Linked DNA regions of Oryzias latipes. The protein of the gene in region 4 purifies or fractionates together with the protein of the main gene of each other region. This does not show direct contact. Links are inferred from orthologs where the notes say so. Each region holds a gene or a part of one and is shown on either strand. Other genes may lie near its edges.

Evidence for each region.
Region 1: the proteins of txnip (region 4) and NACHT, LRR and PYD domains-containing protein 12 purify together in Homo sapiens (affinity purification with western blotting, with the first as the bait; 4 studies listed by BioGRID). This does not show direct contact. The link is inferred for Oryzias latipes from reciprocal best matches to the Homo sapiens genes TXNIP and NLRP3.
Region 2: the proteins of txnip (region 4) and wwp1 purify together in Homo sapiens (affinity purification with mass spectrometry; 4 studies listed by BioGRID and IntAct, counting the BioPlex papers as one, with this or other methods). This does not show direct contact. The link is inferred for Oryzias latipes from reciprocal best matches to the Homo sapiens genes TXNIP and WWP1.
Region 3: the proteins of txnip (region 4) and wwp2 purify together in Homo sapiens (affinity purification with mass spectrometry; 3 studies listed by BioGRID and IntAct, with this or other methods). This does not show direct contact. The link is inferred for Oryzias latipes from reciprocal best matches to the Homo sapiens genes TXNIP and WWP2.

Annotation. Positions count from the first base shown.
Region 1 is NC_019866.2:2,347,210-2,353,128, forward strand, and holds the start of NACHT, LRR and PYD domains-containing protein 12, read right to left. Parts: upstream 3,380-5,919; 5' UTR 3,091-3,379; intron 2,496-3,090; 5' UTR 2,477-2,495; coding exon 2,382-2,476; intron 2,158-2,381; coding exon 2,047-2,157; intron 1,318-2,046; coding exon 1,207-1,317; intron 898-1,206; coding exon 698-897; intron 600-697; coding exon 1-599. UniProt on the Homo sapiens protein: Sensor component of the NLRP3 inflammasome, which mediates inflammasome activation in response to defects in membrane integrity, leading to secretion of inflammatory cytokines IL1B and IL18 and pyroptosis.
Region 2 is NC_019878.2:10,288,051-10,293,247, forward strand, and holds part of wwp1 (NEDD4-like E3 ubiquitin-protein ligase WWP1), read right to left. Parts: intron 5,063-5,197; coding exon 4,990-5,062; intron 2,269-4,989; coding exon 2,087-2,268; intron 1,250-2,086; coding exon 835-1,249; intron 5-834; coding exon 1-4. UniProt on the Homo sapiens protein: E3 ubiquitin-protein ligase which accepts ubiquitin from an E2 ubiquitin-conjugating enzyme in the form of a thioester and then directly transfers the ubiquitin to targeted substrates.
Region 3 is NC_019864.2:27,458,365-27,464,228, reverse strand, and holds the start of wwp2 (NEDD4-like E3 ubiquitin-protein ligase WWP2), read right to left. Parts: upstream 3,617-5,864; 5' UTR 3,517-3,616; intron 1,571-3,516; 5' UTR 1,559-1,570; coding exon 1,489-1,558; intron 1-1,488. Other genes in the region: polr2c (DNA-directed RNA polymerase II subunit RPB3), read right to left, coding at 5,177-5,321, 5,799-5,864. UniProt on the Homo sapiens protein: E3 ubiquitin-protein ligase which accepts ubiquitin from an E2 ubiquitin-conjugating enzyme in the form of a thioester and then directly transfers the ubiquitin to targeted substrates.
Region 4 is NC_019869.2:21,667,710-21,673,657, reverse strand, and holds txnip (thioredoxin-interacting protein), read right to left. Parts: upstream 3,417-5,948; 5' UTR 3,299-3,416; coding exon 3,043-3,298; intron 2,647-3,042; coding exon 2,571-2,646; intron 2,493-2,570; coding exon 2,345-2,492; intron 2,262-2,344; coding exon 1,902-2,261; intron 1,806-1,901; coding exon 1,500-1,805; intron 1,416-1,499; coding exon 1,365-1,415; 3' UTR 558-1,364; downstream 1-557. UniProt on the Homo sapiens protein: May act as an oxidative stress mediator by inhibiting thioredoxin activity or by limiting its bioavailability.

The DNA.
Region 1 (5,919 bases), on a different chromosome or scaffold from region 4:
GGTGACATCAGACACCACCTGACTGTTGTGGAAGTCCAGAGAAAGTCTGCTTTCATCCAGGCCATCAAAGATGAACAGAAGTTTATTGACATCCAGCTGCTCTGCTGGGATCTTCTGGAACGCTGGATGGAAAAGCTGGATCAGACTGTGAAGACTGTACTGCTCATCTCTGACCAAGTTTAGCTCCCTGAGGGAAAGAGGAACCACAGAAATGACGTCTTGGTTCTCCAGACCCTCGGCCCAGTCCAGAGTGAACTTCTGCACCAGGAAGGTTTTTCCAATGCCAGCAATGCCGCTCGTCAGAACCACTCGGACGGGTCCATCCTGGTTCTGGAAAGCTTTGAAGATGTCGTGGCACCTGATTGAAGCCTTGCGTGTTTCTTTGTTCTTGGAGGCCGTCTCCAGCTGCCTCACCTCGTGTTGGGTGTGCACCTTGTCCCTCAGCCCCTCAGTGATGTAAAGCTCAGTGTAGATGTCGTTGAGAAGCATTCCTCCTCCTCCTCCTGCTGCTTCTTCTTCACTTCCTTCAGCCACATGCTCGCTTCTCTTCCTCTGTCTGACCCGATGTTTAAAAAACTGCTTCTGGAGACGAAAACCTTCTACGAGGGGAAAAACAGAAGCAGAGAGACAGAAAATGGTCTCATTTTGGTCCAAACCCACGTCACAAAGGTTTTACTCTGAGTTCTTCTGCTCTGACCGGCTGTCTGCGGTCCAGCTTCCGCTCTGGATCTTCTTTCACATCGTGAACAGGAGGAGGCTCTGGATGGAGCGGCCTGGTTGGAGGCGATGCACTGTCTGCACAAGCCGTGTCCACAGCTGCTGCAGACCGGCTCCTCCAGGACGTTCAGACAAAACCAACAGCTGGAGGGCTTCCTCTCCCCAGAAGAATCTCTCTGTCTGTGAACAGGAGGAAACAGCTCAAACAGAAGCTGACAGAGATCAAGAAAGGAAGTCAGATCAAGACTCCAGACATCCACAACAAGTTCATAACTATTCCCTAGATTACACATCCTGACAGAAAGGTTTTACAATGACAGGTTTTCTGCATCTCCTTAAAAACATTTAGTCTTTCTATCTCACTGAAAGGCATCTTTGAAAATCTGTGTTGATAATCAGGGCTTTCCTGTTCACATTCAGCTACAGTAAAGCAGACATGAAACCTCTGATAAAGCTAATCTGATAATCTTGGATGAAACGGCCTCTTACTTTGAATTTGGGCGACCCGGTTCGGCACTGAAATTCGGGTTTTCCTCTTTGGACCAGTCACTCTTCAGGGACAGAGAGCTGGACGATGAAGAATCGGGTTTCTGTGGATGTCTGTAAATAAAAACAGAAGATCACAGCCGTCTGCAGGTCATAAAAAGAATTTTCTGCATTGATGTGATGGCGTTCCAAGTAAAGAACATTCCTCAAAATAAAAAGATCGTGCGATCCTTAATTAGGCATCTTAAATAGATAAAATCCTAGAATTTATCACCCTTAATTGTAATTTAGGATTACAAAAAAATATTCTGAATCATATAAACTTTCCACACAAAAAAAAAAAAAAATCACAGAATTCTGTAATTTTAAGCTTTAGTCCTAAATCATGTACAGAATCACCTTAGCGCTCGAACTGCTTAAAGGAACCACAATTAATGTGCTTTATGAATAAAAGCAGACCTCCGAAACAACAGGAACACCCCTCTTTAGGACTATACCAATTGGATAAAGGTTCAAGGTGTTGTTTTTTCTTTTAAACGGCGCAGCGTGCCGTCAATTCATCAGTTTTCCTCTCTAAAAAACACCTGTGAGATTCCCTGAATAACCAGTTCAGCAAGGTGAGGAGAACTTCCACTGTAAACATAGATACCACTCATTAAGAGAACTACAGTGGGGATGATGACCTGAGAACCAACATAACACACCAGGTTGTAGGAATATAGAAGGCTTTTTATAGGAAAATAACTGTTTTAAGTTCATCTTTTCCTCCTTTGCACAAAGATCTCGCTTGGTAAAAAAAAAAAAAAGTATTTCCTATTTTGTCTCACAAAAAAAAAGTCTCACTTTGAGGGTGATGGTTCAGGTTCAGCACTGAAATGCGGGTTTTCCTCTTTGGACCAGTCACTCTTTAGGGACAGAGAGCTGGATGATGAAGAACAAAGTTTCTGTGGATGTCTGCAAATAAAAACAGAAGATTACAGGGTAAAACCTGGGTAAAAGAGGGCATTTCTCTGCATGAATGTGATGGAGTTTCACTTGAAGGGATAGTTTTCAGACTAAAAAGACAATGTGATCATTAGGCAGATTGCAGAAGGTTTCTTACAGGAAAACAAACTGTTTTTGATCATCTTTTCCTCCTTCTGTTCAAAGATCTCCCTTTTTTTTAGTAAGCGTCTTACTTTGATTGTGAGGGTTCAGGTTTGGATCGGGGCAAACTGCGAGATGGTGGAATCTCTGATGTGTCCCTCTTCCTCTTCCTCCTTGAACCACTCATCCTCAGTCATAACCTGAACCTGAAGCCATAAAAAATAAACCCAATCTTTAACAGCTGGTGTGACTCACATCCCGCCAATCACAGATTTTATTGATGGATGTTTGTTTCTTAATCTCTATGGCAGTCAATCAAATATTCACAGAGTCAAACAACAGTTCGAGATCCGTTTGAGGAATTGCTCTTCTGACAAAATACTGCACATATTTTCTAATAAACACTATTTGTTCCACTGTCTAATTTAAAGCGGCTTTCTCCTTCCCTGATAAGAAACCCACGTGACCTCTGACTGTAACTTCCTGATTGATCATTTCTCAATCAATCACAATCATTAACAGTCCGATCAGTAATTTCCTCTGAGACTCTCCTTCACTCCTGTCTGAAGAATGTGCGTCACGTCAGTCCAAAGCTGTAATTTGCCTGTTTCTACCTGTTCACAAAGTTTTCTTGTGCGCATGTCTGGAGCTGTAAAGTTCCTGTGCAGACAAGACTTGATAATATTGACACAGTAGTTGGATTATTATATTAATTATTACTGTCATATAAAAAAAAAGTTATTTAATTTTCTTATCTTGGAAAATCAAAGACACTAATAAACTCTTGACCTGCATACTCACATAAGCCGAAGTTCCTATTTCTCCCCCCGTCATTGAGGCCTCTGCTCTGCAGCCTCCAGTCGCTTCCCTCCCTGCGCAGGTATCAGGTGACAATGACTGCGCAGGTCGCCCTCATTTTACCTTCAGGGGCAAATGACAGGTTTTCTCTGCATCATCTGCAGCCTCTGTGGCGCGGGAAGGTCCATGTAGATCCGGACCGAATCCTCGACCCGCTGTTGCTTCCAACTTTCTTTTTCCGGATCGTCATCAACTGCGACTGAGTTCTGTGCGCAAACACCTCCGGAAACTTTCGGTTTCGGTGGCCTGCAGGGGGCGCTGCAGACCGGACTCCTTCCAGGCGGACTGGTGACGCATTTCTCCTCCTCATCTGAATAATATTAACTTTTGCAAAGAACAGAGACATTAGAGCGGTATTTCAGAAAAAACAGGGTAACTTTGACACGTATTGGAAACACTATCTTGGAAAAAGACCTGCTTTTTACCTAATTCTATTTCCAATGAGAAAAAAGACATATCAAGTTTACATAGATTCACCCTGCCAAAACCCATTTAATAAAATGTAAACCCAATATTGAAATAATCATCTGTCTTGGCATTGCCCCCTTTACTCAATCTTTTTGGCCATTTTCTTTTGTTACTAATTTGCTCTCTCCTTTTTTTAAATTTGGAAATTGTTTGTCTTCCACCAACATAACAATATGCCATTTTACTTTTTAACAAATGTCCTTGTGGAAGTCAAATTATACTGAATTAGTTAATTTTTCAAATAACCCAAAAGTTATAAAATGTCTTTAAATTTGCTCCCAACATATAATTATTTCAACTGTCAATTCTGCAATGTTTTATCAATCCTCCATACTCTGTGTGCTTTTGTAGTTTTTTCCTACTTTATTTTTTTTTTTGTTTTATTTTATATCATTTATATGTAATTGTTTTGTACTGAGATTGACGTTTACAATAAAGTTAAAAAATAAAAATAACTTCTGCATAGAATTCATCCTGCTAATCAACAGATGATAAGATACGTTAAAATTGTTAATCCTATTCCCAGCTCTACATGGACCTTCCCGCGCCACAGAGGCTGCAGATGATGCAGAGAAAACCAGTCATTTGCCCCTGAAGGCAAAATGAGGGCGACCTGCGCAGAAACAATTAGCCATCTATGGTGGAACTGGTACAAAAACATTTAGAATCAATTGTAATAAACATTGACTCAAAATTTTTGAAAATAGAAGTGGCACAAAAAAATTATATTTGGTAAATTTCATTAATTTCCCTTCATGAAAACTAATAATATCATATCATATATAATAAATTGGGAAATATTTATATTTATTTACAATTATATTGTAACGTCATCAATTTTCCCGAAGTCTCAACAGAATACAACTATTTGTACGCAGGGTCTGAGGGGGCCGATGAGGACAAACAAGCGAAAACTACATTGTGGTGCCCTCTGGTGGAGAATTGTAATAATACAGACATGTGAGAAAGCGCATCCTTGGTGCTTGAGGATTATTCTACTTTTTCCACTGTCTTAGGTTGGTGTATTTTGTCAAATTGATGGAAAATAAAGGGATAAATTTTAAATTGTAATAAAAAAATGTTTAATCTCACACCTTCTCAAAACATTAAAACATGTTAACACCCACTGATCCACCAAGGCAGATAGACTGAAAGTCAAAGTCAGCTTTATTGTCAAGTATGCTGCATCCATAAGACATACAGCACAGATGAAATTGATTTTCTCTCACCCCACAGTGCAAGCAGCATATAAAATAATAAATAAACGACGTAAAAAATAGATAAAAAGACAGTAATAGTAATAGTAAGAGGAATAACAGTAGTCTAAACAGTGCTAAAGAACAGTGGCATGGTTGAAGTGGCAGTTTAAAGTGACATCAGTGCTGAGAACAGTAAGTGGATGAGTCATTGATGGCAGTCTTTGGTGATGATGGTGTTCTGAAATGGTGTGAAGTTTTCAATGTGAGCTTGTAGGATGGAGTGGAGGGGCCAGAGGGGGGAGGGCAGGGAGGGAGTTGAGTGTCCTTATTGCCTGATGGAGGAAACTGTCTTTTAGTCTGCTGGTTCTGGCCTGCAGACTTTGCAGCCTCCTGGCAGCAGGTTGAAGTGTCTCTGGGATGGGTGTGAGGGGTCCCTTGCAATCCTGATGGCTTTGCGGGTGAGGGTGAGAGGGGGGGGGGGGGGGGGGGGCTTGTAGGATGGAGTGGAGGGGCCAGTAGGGGGTAGGTCCTTGTCAGTACCGGGTTGGACCCGCTTTTGCCTTCAGAACTGTTTTAATCCTTGGTGGAATAAATTCAACAAGGTTCTGGAAACATTCCACATTGGTCCATATTGACATGACAACATCACACAGTTGCTGCAGATTTGTCGGCCGCACATCCATGATGCCAATCTGCCGTTCCAACACATCCCATAGGTTCTCTATTGGGTTGAGATCTGGTGAGTGTGGAGGCCATTTGAGTCCAGAGAACTCATTGTCATGTTCTAGAAACCAGTCTGAGATGATTCCAGCTTTATGACATGGAGCCCTGTCCTGCTGGAAGTAGCCATTAGAAAATGGTACACTGTGGTCAGAAAGGGATGGACATGGTCAGCAACAATACTCGGGTAGGATGCAGTGATGTAACATGATCAATTGGTACTAAGGTGTACCAAGAAAAAATCCCCCACACCATGACACCACCACCACCAGCCTGAACCATTAATACAAGGAAGATGGATCCATGCTTTCATGTTGTTGATGCCAAATTCTGACCTTACCATCCGAATGTGGCAGCAGAAATGGAGACTCAGACCTGACAATGT
Region 2 (5,197 bases), on a different chromosome or scaffold from region 4:
CCAACTAAGCGACAGAAATCATTATGCTTACATCAGAAAATCTTTTGATCTGCTGGAAAAAAAACTATTAAATCCAGTAATTAAAAGAAACATATGGAAGTGGATGGTATTAAATTGGAAATATATATTTTTGTGTATTAAAAAAGGTGATCTTTGTTCAAATCTTTTCTTTGATTTTTTTCTAATATTTTCAAAATCTACATACAGGCTGGGCTCTAACCTCATTTACTCACGGAAACTATAAGATGAGCTAATGTTAGAAGTCTAACAGCCACAATGTGTCAAGTTCATAGATATGATCGGTTTTGTTTATGTGCTCGTCACGGTATCTCCAGTCTGTTCTGTTCTTCTGACTTTATCCACAAACATTACAGAGTAAAACGCTGGATGTAGTTCTATTGACCATTATGAACAGTTTATTTTTTTGTCTGTGGTGATGCAGAGCCGGAGTTTGCCTTGATGTGAAGCTGCAGAGGCAGGCAGGGACCGTCAATAAAGTACCGTACACGAAAACCCCCCAGAGAAACAATAGCAAATGTTATTGATGTTTATGTTACAGAAGTTGGATTTGACTGCCGAAATAGAAAACATAGAGAAAATGAGGTGGTTTAACCCTACAAATTAGAATTTGCCATGTAACATTTGAAAAGAGGGCTTTTAAGTTTACTGCAGTAATAGCTATCATTTCAGTGTATGTGAAGTGCTTGAACAAAATCTGTACCACTGCATGTTCTCAATAGAGCTTAAAGATGCTGACAACACCTGAATAAACATCACAGGATCAAACCGTGTGTTATCAGGCGGTTCTAGCTTTTAATCAAGTTTTTTTCTTACCCTGGTGGTAGAGGATCAGATGATGCAGCATTAGAGAGCGGCTGCCTGGGCTTGACCCCGTCTGAGGTTGTCGTTGCATTGCCGCTGCTGCTGCCGCCGCCGCCCCCGTCTCCGGAAGCATTTACTTCTGCCGTGGGCGGGGAGGAAGAGGACGAACAGGAGGGTGTTGTGGCGGTGCTGGTCCCTTGGGTTGCATAGGCCAATGTGGTGGAAGCAGCGGCGGTGGTGTCTGCAGGTTTAGCACCGGCAGAGGAGGCTACAGGAGACGCGGAAGTTGTCCGAGGCGGCGACGTGCTGTTCGGGGCGGCAGGAGAGTCGGCCTCTCCAGCGCCGTCCTCGTGGCCGCCTGTGGGGGGCACATCCGTTCTTGCTGAGGACGTTTGCCTGGCAGCAGCCTCGCTGGACTCCCCATTTACTGCAAACACAGGACAATGACGGTTTTTATTTGTTCGCATCATCTGACTTTTTGACATCAAAAACATGTGCAACTGTTGCATCACATGTACACTTAGGAAAAATGAAGAAGTCTGTGGTAAAATATTCTTCTCAGCCTCAATGGCTGCTTAATAAGAAGAGAATGAAAACAAAATCAACATTCAGAACAATAAACTTTTTATCTTAAAAATAGAAAGTATTGTATTGTCCAATAGCTGGATATGTTGGTGTAATGCCACCATGATTGACGTACTTCAGATATAACAACTTTTCTGAGGATTAAAAATAAAACTTGGACTTTGAGAACTATCAGTGTAAACTGTTATTTTCATAGTTAATTTAAAAAAAAGAACATTGTCAAGTAGAGCTGTGATGGTGTGGGATTTTTGATGAACCAGCAGGGGGCGCGGTGTCGCGGTTAACCGCACATTACTAGCAGTCACCAATGCAGAGATTTTTTGTTTTGTTTGTTTTATTTTTTTCAAATCACTTTTCCCCAGAGTTTGCACTTTGTAGACCCCTTGACAGCTGTCTCTTTATCTGCAGCACAGAGAGCCATTCTCGTTAAAAAGTGTGTTTACCAAAACAATCATCTGATTTCAATCGAGTCTGAAACTACGTGATTGGGATCAGTTTCTGATCACGTGATCGGATCGGGACATCCCTACCTAAAACTACTCTTTTTGTCATTTCAAACTTGAACACAATAAAGATTTGTTTAGGGAGCATAAATGTGAACAAAATGACATTTTTAGGAATTCTTTTCAGAGAAAAGATCAACAGACTTTAGAATTGAGAACATAGAAGACAAACTCACCTATTCTATTTTGTGTCTCGCCGTCGAATGGCTGGTGGACTGGAGTGGAGTTTAGGGTTGTCTCTCCGTTGACCGCATGATCCCGAGCTGGGCTACAGGAGCTGGAAGGCACCTGACCTTCAGCGCCACTGGAGGCTGAACAGGAACCTGACCTCGGGTCCAAATCTGAACCATTCATTGTGCTTGAGGGAGAAGAAAGAGAAGACAAGAAGGAGATTGTAAATGAAATGCAATGACGAAACGAGATATCAGCGGCGTAATGAGCACAACTGAAAGGCTTTCTTTGTGAGCTGTAGCTTTTCAGGTAATGTCAGAGACAAACCTGCAGAACGACCAAACCAAAACCAGCCATAGAACTAAAGCTCAGCTAAGCCAAGACCTACAGCAGGGAATCAACGATCAATCAGTTAAACAACCAAATCTTTAGCTTTTTGCAAACTAAAAATTATAATAATTTGCAATAAGCTTTAAAGCAATATTATTTTTCAAGACATGAACAATTTAAGCAGTTCAATAAAAAACATTTCTAAATTCAGCACCAAAGCCTAAATATAAAGGCTGCTGTACTTATTTAAAGCAGAGTCTTCTGGCTCAAAACTGTACGGCTGGTTAGCCCCAACTTTACTCGCCATTTTTGTTGCACCGCTAACGACAGGTTGGGGTTGTGAGGGACTGTAAACTAGCAGGAAAGACTGCAAACAAAGGGATGATGGGAAATAAAAGCAGTCTCAACCTTGCGCCAATTTTCCCATCTACAAATCAGTAATGAATTTCTCAAACTCTGCAGAAAACGACAAGTTTTTTGACTAAAACCAGCAAATAGATCCAAATATGATCAGAGTGGGACTTCGAATCCTTGTTGGCAGCACACAACAAAACAAATATCCTAATCTCTGCAAGTTTGCTTAAAACCAAACACATCAGAAAGCTGGTCTTCAGATGCTTTTTATGGAGTGTTCCCATCTTCGCCTCACAGCGAGAAGATCCTGGTGTGGTTTGAATCCCTGCTGGGTCCTTTCTGTGTGGAATTTGCATGTTTGCCTGTGCACGTGTTGACTTCTTCCCACAGTCCAAAAACATGCTTCATAGGTAAATAATGATTCTAAATTGTCCCTAGATGTGAGTGTGGTTGTGTGGCCCTGCTAGAGACTGACAACCTGTTAAGGGTGTACCCTGCCTCTGCCCAACAGTAGCTGGGATAGGCTCCAGCAACACTGTGACCCCCAAAAGGGATTCTACAGGTTCTGAAGATGGATGGATATTTTCCCGTTTCTTTTAATGGGTAGTTTCCACTCTACAGCGAGAAAGAGCTTTGGCACATTCCTCCAGAGACTTTATAACACAATAGGGAGTAGGAAACTTTGTATAATGGCATTAAAACGCTCTAAGCAATGTCTAAGCAGGTTAATGCCAAGCAGCACTGCTAATCTAGGGGTCCTGCTGACCTTGAGAGAAGGAAATGACTTGAATCAAGTTTGGAGAAAATGTATTTACAAAATGAAACAAGCTGGATAGTTGTGATCAGCACCATAAATGTTTTTGTTTAACTGCACCACACCACCCACATTGTTTCCTTCTCTGACTTCCTGTTTCGCTCACATCAATCAATCAGCACAATACTTGTAACTTACATGTTGTACAAAAAAACAAAGTCTTTGACATATTAAGAAACATCATAACACACAGACTAAAGAATAAATCAGGTTTCAGCTCAGTTAAAAAAAAGACAGACTAGTCCTTTCGAATCACACTTGCTTTCACAAATGTAAAATATGTTTTATAAAAAAGGATTATGTCATGTATTTCTGTTAAACAGACGGGATTGGTTAATGCATTACTGGACAGAACTGATGCTTTTACTGTTACACAAGAACTGCTGGATGGATAATTAGATTTAAAAGAAGAAAAAGAGATTACTTCATCTTGGACATTTAAAAATGGAGCACTTGTTCTTTTTACTTTTTAAGGGAAAGTTTAAAATAATAACCTACAATTCCTCTTAACGTTCTGTTTAAGTAATTGGTGTGATGACAGCACTTTAAAAAAAAGGTTCTTCCCTGTTAAACTTATGTAACAGAAGAAGAATCAGCATTTCTTCTTGCATTTTCCATGATATTCATGCTATTCATTCACAAAGCGGGAAGTTACACTAAACTTCCGTCTTCCTCGACACATATACCGTATTGCACCTGTCTCACTCTTACCTTTTCTCCTCGAGTGCAACTGGCGGCCGTTTAGAAAAAATGCATTAATTTTTTTTTTTTAAATGCATAAAAAAGCGTTGAACAAGAGTAGCAGTTTATAATCCGGAAATTACTGTAATTCCTAGGTTCCACCTGTTTTTGGACGGTGGGAGGAAGCTGGAGCCCCCGGAGAAAAACCCCCGCATGCACGGGGAGAACATAGAAACTCCACACAGGGGGGTCCCCCATTGATGTTCTGTTTCAGGTCCCCCAGCTGGGACGTGAACTGGGGGCGTTCTTGCTGTGAGGCAATAGTGCCACCGTGCAGCTCTAAAAAATATCTCAAACTTTTCCACAATATTGTCATTTGTCCATTGTCTTGTTCCCTTCTGAAAGACACCTGTCTCATTTACAATCAAAAAGAGGTTGAATATTTTGGTTAAATGAAAGTAACTTCAAGTCAAAATGTGGCAGATGGATGAATGAATTATTTTTTGCTTGACAATTCTTCATCTTTTGTTATGCTCTTGTATTATAAAAAAATGTGCCACTAAAAACAAAATAGAGAAAAGTCTGCTAATAAAACTCGTCAACACTACAATCTGGTTCTCTCATGTTGATTTTGAAAGTAATTTATGACTTCAATTGTCCACAGAACTTTTTGTTTTTTTAGAAGTTCCTGGCGTTTTTCCCTTTAGATACAGTCCAAAAAGAGTTTACCTGTTGGCAGCCCTTGAAGAGGATGAGGAGGAGTCTCCGTTTTCATGGACAACCTCGCCATTCTGATGGACCTCTGAAAATAATAAAAAGAAATGTTAACTATAGGTAGCCCATGCAGGAGGGTTTTTACTAAACTGAAACATATAAAACAGGTTTTGAGGTCAAAGAGAAAATAAAACATTTCTTTGTTAATTTTGGAAAAAATAAA
Region 3 (5,864 bases), on a different chromosome or scaffold from region 4:
GGAGTATAGTTTGTACTATATAAATAGTATAGTAAAAAAAATTACACGACAGACAATGTCATTATTGCTCTGAAATACAGAGGGATGTTGGATTTTAAGTGCATAAACTAAACAAACCGTATGTACTACTGTCTCCAGAAGTATGTATATATTTTCAAAGTAAAGTGTCGGTGAAGTTTCTCATTTTTTAAAGTAAAACAATCAAGTGTTTTTGAGGGGGGAAAAAATAGGTTAGCTTTACAAATATGTTCTGAAAAACTAAATAGTCAACAATCTGAATAATTAATATGAAATTTAAAAGATTTTAAAAAGCTGGTGATCAATGATGTGACGTCATGCGTCTGTCTGCTAGCATGGTGGAGAAGCAGAACAGGAATGTAAACATGTTCATCTGAATGCGTTTTAAGATGTCCACTTAAAATCAGTTTGTAAAACATTTTCTAGCCAGAGAAACTTTGAGGATGGACAGAAAAACTGTGGATTCACAGCCCTACAATTTCGGAGGTTTATTCTAAAGAGTTATAAAAGCCTTTTGACAAATTCAAATGAGAAAATAGGCTTTTAAACTATTTTTTTGTACAAAAAAACCCCACCTTATTATGAAATGACATCTAAAGTACAGATGTATTGATCAATCTAACCATATGGTGCTTCAAACTCGACTGTAAAACCAGTATAAAATACACTGCAAAAAGAGTTTGCTGTATTTGCAAAACAGACCAGAAAACTGTTGAACTGTAAAATGACTTGAGGGACGTCCCGCAGCGAATACAATAGAGCAGAATGCAGCAATAAAGAGGCATCAGCTGATAAACCAGAAAGTTTAAACTTCACTTATCTTTATAAACAGCTAAAACTCAAGCAATTATATATTAGTTAAAAATTGGGCATCAAATAAATCATCTTAAGCTGCAGCATAAGAATTGAAACATTCTGGGTTTTTTTTTTTAATATAATTGCTGGATTTTTTTTTTACAGCACATAGATTAGCTGAGAAACATGAAAAATGTATTTGAGAAAACATGAAAATTATTTGTAAAATGAACCAATTTACATTTTTTTAAGGCTATCTGATCAAATATGCCACCAAAAAGTTGTAACCATAACATAATATGTTCTGGTAAAAATTTTGTTTGTTGTTTTTCCAAAAAAAAAGCAGAAAATATTAATCTGCAAGTGTTTCAGTCTAACTTTGACACATTCCAGGTTTTTGTCGTATGCTTCACATATTTGCCCAAATAGATCAAGGAAGACATTTATATGAAACTTAATAATAATAATAATAATAATAATAATAATAATAATAATAATTAACTGGAAAATTCTATAAAGCTTCAATTATTATCTGCTCCCATCTTTAAAAACCACAAATGAACATTTAAACATAAATCTGGCTTCACTTTAATTTGAAATATTGTTTTACAAAAAAATACTAATAATAATCACCCAAAGTCTATGAAGAGGTGATCAAAAATAAAAAAGACTGACCTTTCAGGATCAACTGAGACTTTTCTGTACTCTGAGCACTGCCAGGTCTGGTCACGCTGGCAGCTGCCATGACATCCCAGCTCTGCAACACAAGCAGTCGCACAAATGACCACAACACTACACAAAAAGTGAATCATTGCATCCCTGCTGCATACAGGTATGCTTACGTTGAAAGTCTCAATCATCGTGCTAAATTTAAGAATGATTCTTTTTTTATTGTTTTCAGGCTCAGTGTAAGCCAACTGAAAGGTTGTTTTCTTCATTGTTACTTATAAATTGATAGATAAGTCTTTATTGTCATACGTACAATGAAACTAAAAGTGCCTTCTGCACGGACCAGAAGGCACTGAAAAGAAGAAGAATTTTTAGGTTTTTTGTCATAGTTTTGTAAAAAACAAATTAAACCAAAAACAAAACTGTGACCCAAAAATCGAGGTTTGAACAAATCATGGGGTGCAGCCTCATCCTTTAGAGCCAACGCTTCCTGCATTTTTCACTCATTTAATGTGCAAAGTCTGCAGAGATGTGACGCCTGGAGGACAAAGCCAAGGACCAAGTGTCCTGCAAACATCACAGCTCACCACCAAAATGCATTATTGTTAGGTTGAGTGCAAACTGCACAAACAACAATGTAAATAAATAAATTACATTTTGTTTTGACTATAGACAAAAATCTCTAATTTAGAAAACTTTTTAAATGTTCTGTTTTATATTCACAAGTGTCTAAGTCTAATAAAAATGTGTTTTATTGTCTTTCAATGTGCAACTATTTTATAAACCAGTGGCCCTGAACCACCTTTTAATCACCTCATCTAACAGTTTGTCATTATGTTGTGATTGGATTCCACCTGTCATTAAAAAAAACATTACAAAATAAAAGCATATACCTGAAAGTGTTTTGTTTTCCCTGTCAGAGGCTGCAGCCAAGTCTCATCAACATCACCTTGAGCAAAGTCATGCAGGGATGCAGTCTGCAGCGTTTATTAGTGCGAACAAATCTGCAGCACAGCAGGCATTAACCCTGCTGCAAGCAACTACGTCCTTGATGATGCTCCGTCATTGTTTGCAGAGTAAATAACTATAAACTCTGCATTTCCTCTGCACACAGTCAGAAGCCTCAGACAAGGCGAGTCTTGATAAAAGTTGGTCCTAATCAGAAATCAACTGTGTGTTTTGACAACCACTTCTGTCTCAGTCAGAGCCAATCCGAGGGGAGCTAACACAACAAAAGCTCGCATTCCCGTCAACCTTGCGAATTAACCTCGGAAAGGTTCGGCCAGGGGGATCAATGGCGCCTCCGGACCCCGGCAAAGCTTCACCTAAACGGATGAAGACGGAACCATTTCTGCTCAACCGATTTATCGTCACTGCATGGTACCCCTGAGTGACTGCTGCTAACAAAATACAAACAAGGCAGATGATTGAGGCATATGAAAGTATTACCGTCAATCCTGGGCAGACAACACGCAAACTTCCGTTGAGGATTTTTAAATTAAAAGCTTACCAAGAAAAAGTCCTTTATTTACTCTAATTCCCCCAAAAAAGATAATTTAGTATTTTCTATTAAAATATGAAAATAAAAATACAAGAAAGAGAACGACATGACTTAATTATTATGGTTATTTCAGTACATAACTACATTACTACGCATTAAGCGTTTCTTGTTCCAATTTAATTTGTTTTAACACTTCAAGAACACACAAGCTAGTAATTTAATAAACCCTACATTTTGAATAAAACTTTGATTTTTTTAATTAAAATGTGTTTCTTAAATCCTTTCTCACCCCTAATGCTTAATTTGAAGGGGAACTGTCTTCACTTCCGTTTGGAACGGCTCATTTGTCGTGAGAAGGTAACTGTTAGCCCGCAAGCTTGTTAGCTGGATTTTACCAAAGGACATGGAAAAAATAGCTATTTCATACACCAGAGTGAAAACAGATTAAGATCTATAGCAACCCGCTTAATATTAGACACAGCTCGGTGTACTGACACAAGAAAACAGAAGCATTTATGGCAAAGTTCTTGTACCTTTTTCAGCTGTACTCCGCCGCTGTAGCTAGTGAACTTTCATTTCCGCATCACTGATAAAGCCACGTGATCCAGTGACGTCAGAGGGAGGAGGAGGGGGCATTTGCTCTACGAATATTGTCCCCTAACTGACTTAGCTAAATGTGACATACACAAATGTAAATATACAAACAAAAAAACAGCGTTTTTCATTAAGAAATGGTACTGTGCATAAAAGTATGGAATCCTAAACTAATAAAAAAGTTGAGTTGGGGTTGGTTTCATTTAAAATGTGAGAAAATTTGCCTTTTATTTTCTTTTTTTTTAAGTACTATTGTTTTTTTCTGTATTTCAATCTCCTGGAAAATTCAATAAAGTTACTTAACTAAAACAAATCCCCCCCCCCCCCCCCCATATGGTAAAGCATAAAATGGTTGACTAAAATCGTGCAATGTAGAAATCTGGTATGGAAACTAGGTATGGAGTTTCCTGTTTTGTATGATGTATTGTATGTGCAATAGTTGTCGATAAAGTTCATTTTAAAAGATTCCACCTTCAGAACCCACTTAATCTTTTGGGGTATTAAGTGGAGCCTGTTCCAGCCACTGCTGGGCAAGGGGAGGGGTACACACTAGATGTGTTGCCGGTCTTTTGCACAGCCACACGATCACAGGGACAGTTTAATGATACAAACAGACTGATGATATCACACGTTTTTCCTTGTTTTTGACATTAAACTCTCAATGGATCCTGAACCAAATCAAAACTAAAAACTAACCAACCTAAAAAAAATACTTTGATTTGCCACAGAATAAATTCAATTTTGCTTTAACAACTTAGAATAGCCTCTGCTGACAGATTGTGAATATTTTATCTTTTATATAAACAAGCTGAACTAATGTTAATACAAACCATCATCCCTGCAATAAACAGGCTCCACCGACTTTCATTAAATAAAGTCATTCTGCTGCAAATTTTCTAATTAAAGTAGAAAAGTGATTTTGTGCTCTAAAAAATTGCATTAACAAGTGGTGTTTTTTTTTAAAATCAGTGTCTTTGTTAAAATACATTTTTAAAAATACTTCAAAAAAAACAAAAACTTATTGTGAACATTTAGGATAGAAACACTTTGATTCAAAACATTATTTGAAGAAGTATTTTACTAAATGTCCAAGTATGTTTCAGCTAAAAAAGTAATTGGATCAAGTGTGAAGTTTTTATCTAAAAAACGATTAAACTTTTTAGCTGTAAAGAACATATTACATTTAGATAGGAGACATTTTTAGTTTCTTATCCAATTAAAAATTAATTTTTTAGCTTCAACAGTAGTTCTTCTAAAGTCTTAAATTTCTTGCTCGATGTTAAAGTTGTTCACTTTGTTTTTGTTTTTAACTGAAACAAAACAGATTTGAAAGAACAAAAGTCTTTAAAACATATTTATTTAAAATTGGGACAACAACAAAACAGATATTAATGTGAGTCTGTGCACCATTTTCTTAACATTTGAGGGTTTTTCCTGAAACAGGAAGTGGATTTTCAGCTGCTTTTCAATTCCCCCACAGGTTCAAAGACATGAATACAGACATTAAACACAGCACAGAGCTGAGAGCAGAAAGCAGGAAGGACTGACTGAGCTCAGCCAAAGCTGCACTAATGCGGGTCTAAACCTAAGAGAACGCCTTCAGTTAATGGTGAGAACATCACTCTGGATCTCATGGCTCAGTTGCGTCTGCAGGTCGCTCAGTTTCTTCTTTAGGACGGCCAATGCTGACATGACCACCGTCTCGGGTCGCAGAGAGCCGCACGACTCCACGTTGTAATAAAACCTGGATTAAAGAAAATCAATTAAATGAGATGTGTTCACATGTTCAGGGATTTCTCAGAGTTCACCAATTTACCGTTAAAACTTCAAACCCACTCTGAACATCTTTTGATCCATTTTCAAAGCGTTCCCAGTGGTGTTTTAGTCACGTTTGTCATTTTTAGTCAAAATCTAAAAACCTGTGTTGTTTTCTAGGACATATTTTCTGCGGAGCTGCAGGAGTTGATTAGAAAATCCCTCCTCAGTCACAGCTGGGACTGCTGGAGCTCAAAAAAGATACTGTTTATGTATGTATGTGTTTATGTAGGGTTCTTTTGTGAATAACATTCTAAGAGTTAAAAATCCTCACATTTGGGATCACATTATGAGATACAAGGCACTCCATGCCACAAAGAAAAATCATATCAATTTTAATAAATAGTTGTTGGTGTTCACTGGACCATGCATACTAAAATCATTTTAAGGAAGGTTTCTTGCTCACCTTTCTGGTTTTCCGTTGGGGTCATAGGGGGCCTGGACTTCATCCTCCTCGATCTCTGAGTACTCA
Region 4 (5,948 bases):
TCATCTAGACCCACTAGACAGTGCTCTGAACCTTTTTTCTTCAATGATTTGTGATCTTCACTGGTGTCCATGGATTACATGAAATCTTTCCACCTTTATCATGGTAGGGAGAACCCTTCAATGTAAGGATGGGGTCATCTAAGATAGCACAAGGGTAAAGGAATCTATGTAGAATAAAGGTAAACTAGAAAAATAAGGTGTTTGAAGGAAATAGTTGGCTAAGGTTCCAGCTGTGATTAAGTGGACTGGTGTGCAGCCAGAGGGCTGTTCTGTGCTCCGTCATGCTGACGTCTTTTCACAACTATGAGCTAGAGATAAGGGCGTCTGGGTTGAGTTTCATTGCTCTCCAGAATGCAGTTTCATAAACAAGAAGCACAAAACAACCAAGTCAAGTAATAATTGGTAATACTAAAAAAAAATGAAACATTTCAAATTAAAAAGGGAGGTTTTTGATTTTATTATCAGCAAAAAAGGAATTTTCTGTCTTTTGCAATGCCGTTTTCAGGGACATCCAGATCAGGTTGGGTTCATGTTTAATGGATGAAACAATCGACAGGTTTTTCTTTTCAAGCGTTTATTATATAAAATTTGACCCATGGGGTTCATACAAAAATACTTTCTTACAACTCAGTCTTAAAACACTTTTCAAACTTTTAAAGTGAAGAAAGAGGGCAGATTTGACTGAAATGTTGTCTGAGACAACTGCAGAACAGATACAGCAGTTCTGTAAGGTGCTTCAGCATCACACCTGCTGAAAAGAATTAAAGTCAGAATATAATCAAATTTGGGATTTCTCTTTTTTTCTTTTTAAATTAAAAAAACATTTTTTTACATTTGTAACACACAGCCAAAAACGTTTGTTTGCAGTAACAGAGCATAACTTTAAAAAGTGCGATTCAAAAAAAAAAAGAAAAAGGAGTCATACACAACATGCTGAGATAATGCTCTGTGGAAATAAGGAGGCTCCTTTATCATCCTAAACGTTTGTTCCCAACAAACTGATGAGCCTGCTGAGAGCCACAGCTCCTCTTTGGAAGAAACTGGATATAACTGGAATGAACAAACCAGCCAGGAGTCACAGCCTGACTCACACACGGCTCCTTCTCAAAGAGTAAAAAAAAAAAAGTGTTCGACAGGAAGCAGCAACACCAACGGACTCCGGTTACTCCATGGAGCCTTTAGACGGGAGGAACAGCAGACGGAGACCTTCAGGACCAACCGAACACCAGGGGGAAACTCTGGATGAAGCACAGGCATATGCAGAAACATCATCATCGCAGGTTCTCTCCAGTTTGGACCTCCAGCTTCTTGTTGAAGTGCATTCAATGATTGGTCTTGGAGAACTGGACCCGCAGCTGCAGCATTCAGCAGACTGGCAGCATGCAAACGTTGTTTCCGTTGTACTCTTCTTCGGTCTGCAAAACACGAAGCAAAACCAGAACTTTCAGAACCGTCCCAGCAGCTGCCAGAAATGCGCAGAACCCTGTTGATCGCCTTACCTCGGCAAACACAGGCGGTGATGGGAACTGGAAGCTGGGCGACCTCATGAAAATGGGGCTGCCATCTATGTCGTCGCAGTCACACAGCAGCGGCGTGAGGGGCTGGTCGAGCCGAACGTCCCGCGTCATGTCAGAGTAGCTGGGGGGATTGGAGGGCATCTGCAGGGACACCCAGCTCTGGGAGGCGTTGCTTACGGAGCCCTCCTGGCTGCTCACACTGTTGCTGCGGCTGCCGAGACCGGCTGTCCCGATGACCAGAGGCAGCTCCAGGATCACTTTCTCACTGCCGGGAATGTGGACGTAAATCTGGAAGAAGAAAACAACAGACCATCAACACGTGTTTATCTCAGGAGGAGCCACAGGTGCTCCGCAGGCATGCACACTTCACCATCGGTGGCTCACCATTAGTGCATACTCCACACGGATGATGTTACAGCTCAGCATGGATGGCTTGATCTTTGGTACCCTGATGGTCTTCCCCTGCCAGGCGTCACACATGCCAGAGATGATGTGGTTTCCACGCACTGATGACAGCTTCTGCCTGAAGACCTTGGTGCGGCCGTTGGCCTGATATGTGTGTTTGGCAATGATGGCAGCTTTGGGAACCACGATGCGTGAGCAGGTGTTCTCGAACTTGGCGTTGATGCAGATGTCCTCGCCTTCACAGAAACCACGCCTGTCGATTTTGGCGTTTAGTGACACTTGGCCGTCGGGAATGAACATGCAGGTTACTTTCTTTTCCTTGGAGCCACCTGTGGGAGACTGAAGAGCAAAAAGAGGTAAAAAGAAGGTTAGCACGGCGGCGAATCCCAACATCTACACCCATGGATGTTCTGATTACTCACAAGTAAATCTGGGGTGTTGACATCCAGAGGTTCCTCCACCTCGAAGCATTTCTTGCACTCAAGCGTGGGCTGCAGCGGCCTCTCCAATTTAGCCTTCACATAGTACTGAACATAGCCAAACTTCCCCTTGTAAGAGGATACCAGCTGCCTATGAGCAAACACAAACAGGATTAGAACCACAAATCATTTCATGACTGAATGAGGAACTAAAAAAAAGGGGGCTTACCCTTGGTCGGGGAGGTCGAATCCAAAAGTGTACTCATATTTATTCCCAGGCCTCAGCACGACAGAGCCATCTGCATCTGGGGAGGGGGGAGAAAAACCATGAGTAAGGGGGGGGGGGGGGGGGGCAACTCTGTGGGAAATGAAAATGAAGGTGGGACATGATGTAAACAGAGCCAACTGGGACAAAGTTCAAGCACGGATGTTTCTGATTCCTGCCTCACTGATGAACCCCTGTAAATTCTCACTGCGTCATATTTCACCCATGAATCCAAATTTATTAAACTCACTTTAAAATAGACTAGAGTTAAAAAAAAAAGAAGCAGCTCACTTTAACCACAAAAACAGCTTTAGATTTATAAAGTGGAAGAAAAAATAATTTAACTACTTAATATTTTTAACGTGTAATTGTGTTATTTAGCTAGGACAAAAATAATTCCAGCACTTCCAACAGTTCCAGTGCGCACGAGGCTTACCTTTGGGCTGGTCGTGCAGGCTCAGGACCTCCTCGTGCCTCAGGTACTCGGCCTCCTGTCGGCATCGCTGCTTCCCCTTAGCGTACTCCACCTTGGCACAGCCCAGAGCCACGACTTTCACCGCAGACACCCGCGTCAACTCGTTCACCTCCACCTCCACGCGGCCGCACACCTTCTCCCCGCCGCAGTAAAAAGTCTTGCTCGGGTCCGATAAGACTATCTGAAAAGTTTTCAGTCTCTTCGTCATGGCTACCATGGCTGCTGAGGCTGTGAACAATGCTTGCTCGTGCGACTGAAGCTTTCGTCGTCTGAGGCTGTAAACAACAGAGGCGGCTGTATTTTTCTTTCTTTCCGTGAGCCCCGCGTGATGAACCGCCTCCGCGGTGTGGCTCAGCGCATGCACAGCGCTCCTATTGGCGGAAACTCTAGGTTTGTCTCGGCTTTAGCCAATCAGAGCGCAGAGTCAGCGCGTGGACAGCGCATGCATACGAGAGTGCAGCGCGTGCTCAGGAGATGAGAGACGAAAACTCAGCGTTTATAGTAAACACCAGAAACCTGGGAAGTACAGGCGTTTCCCTCTTAGGTCAGTTATTCAGCTGCGTTACAAATGAATATTATCAGTGCTATGATATAAAATCAGTTTACAGTTAATTTTGTGTCCTGATATGCTGAAACTGGATGATAACAGATAAAGAAAAACCTGAAAACACTATATCAAGCAGTTAATGGTCAAGTTTACACGACGTTTATTGTCTTATGAACAGACAGATCCATAAAACAATTGTGAGGATCAACTCATTAATATTTTCCCAAAGCATTAAATACTTTAAAATGTCTGTTTGCTGCTGAAGGGCCACAGTGTAGGCTACACTTTTTAAAAGTGATATAGATTTTTTTGTTGTGGGTTTTTATACTGTCTGCTTGTATTTTTTTTCGCTTGTATTTTTTTCCCTATTGTTCAAAAAGACAATTCCAACAATACAAAAAGACATCAAAATGTAAAATAAAAGTATTTGAGGTTAATTTAGGGTGACATTTTTTCAACTTATATAATGTTAACATTTTATCCTTTTAACGTCACGCATGTTAGGTCAAATATTGCTTACAAAATAAACGCCAGAGTTTCACTGTAAACAATTCATGAAGTTAACATTACAGTGATTCTTGATACTTCTAGAGTCCTCAGTAATTGGTAGGGATGCCACATTCATTCATTCATTCATTCATTCATTCATTCATTCATTCATTCATTCATTCATTCCTCTTCTAAAATCCACTTCAGGGTCACGGAGCTGCCAGACCCTTTTCCGGCCATCTTTGCTTCCCTACAGCATGCCATTATCTTTTAGAAGGATGTGTTATTTATGGTATTTATGGTTTTTGGTATAAGCCAACTGAAAGATTTTTCTTCATTCTTTCTTGCTAATTAGCTAATTTAAAAGAGGGATTTTCAGATATTTTTTAGCTTTATTGTTGTTTTGTAATACTCAAAATAAATATGAAATGGAAACAAAAACGTGACCCAAAAATTGAACCAAGTCATGGAGAAAGTGAATCTTTGCATTCCTGGTAAATACTTATATAGTGCTTTTCTACCTTCCCTTAAGGCCCATAGTGCTTTATTCACATTCACCCATGCACACACAATGGCGCCAACCTGTAACCACCAGGAGCAGTGTGGGGATCAGCGTCTTGCCCAAGGACACTTCCACACATGTGGGCCGGATGGAAACGAACCTACAATCTTCAGATCAGCTGCTCTTCCTCTGCACCACGCCGCCACCGCAGATATTATTGGAAGAAGATCAAATTTGGTCTAAATTTTAAAAGAAAAATGAATAAAAAACATTTTGCAACTTTTTTCTCTGTGTTGTTTCACAACCATCAAATATATTTCTGTAAAAAGCAAGAACCTTTTAATTGTCTCAGAAGGCTCAAGTGTAATGTAAACTGATCGTTGTGGCTCCTCTCTCAAGTATCCCCACGTCTGTAACAAGATGCCCCAACTGACGCCACATGTCTTCTGAATGGTTGACTTTTCTGGGTATCGCATCTCTTCAGAAGTGGGATCTAAAAATATTTTTGTTCACAGACACAGTGATGGAAATCAATTTTGTAGAAGGGATCATTTCGTACTGTAACCCTGGTGCTATCCTACGCACTTTACCATTGGGAGTTGGGTCATCTAGACCCACTAGACAGTGTGCTGAACCTTTTTTCTTCAATGATTTGTGAACCTCACTGGTGTCCATGGATTACATGAAATCTTTCCACCTTTATCCACATTTGTCATGGTAGGAATAACACATCAAAGTAAGGGTGGAGTCATCTAAGGGTTAAAAACAAGGGTTAAAAAAGAAGTAACACAATTATCTGTAATAATAAGGTTTCCAAAGATTTGTTTAGGTCAGGAAACTCAGTTCTTTCCTCATTTTTATACCTGAAACATATTAACTGATTAAAGTGATCAAGTTGATGCCTCACTGATTTCCTTTCAGGATAAAAGATGTCTGGAACGTCTTAAAATGCTGCATTACCCCAATGATTGGAAAAATACAGCTCTTCTTCAGACTAACTTGGGTTTATTGTAACTTTAAATATTTTTTTCTGTCTCTAATATATCTAATTTGCTTTTTTTTATTCATGTAATGAAAAAAATACATTTGAAAGGAAAACCTTTCCATGCTACACAGATTTTTTCTACTGTGGGACAAACACTTTCATCCAACATGCCATGAACAACTTTGGTGTGAGATTTCATTGCAGACTGACCTCCAGTCTACATCTCAAAGCATAAATTCACAGCAATGAAGCTGCTGAGTGCAGACTGACATACAAATGAATGAAATGAGTTCCGAGATTCCCAAAGCTGTGACAGACCAAGGAATGTCTACGTGCGATTTGAC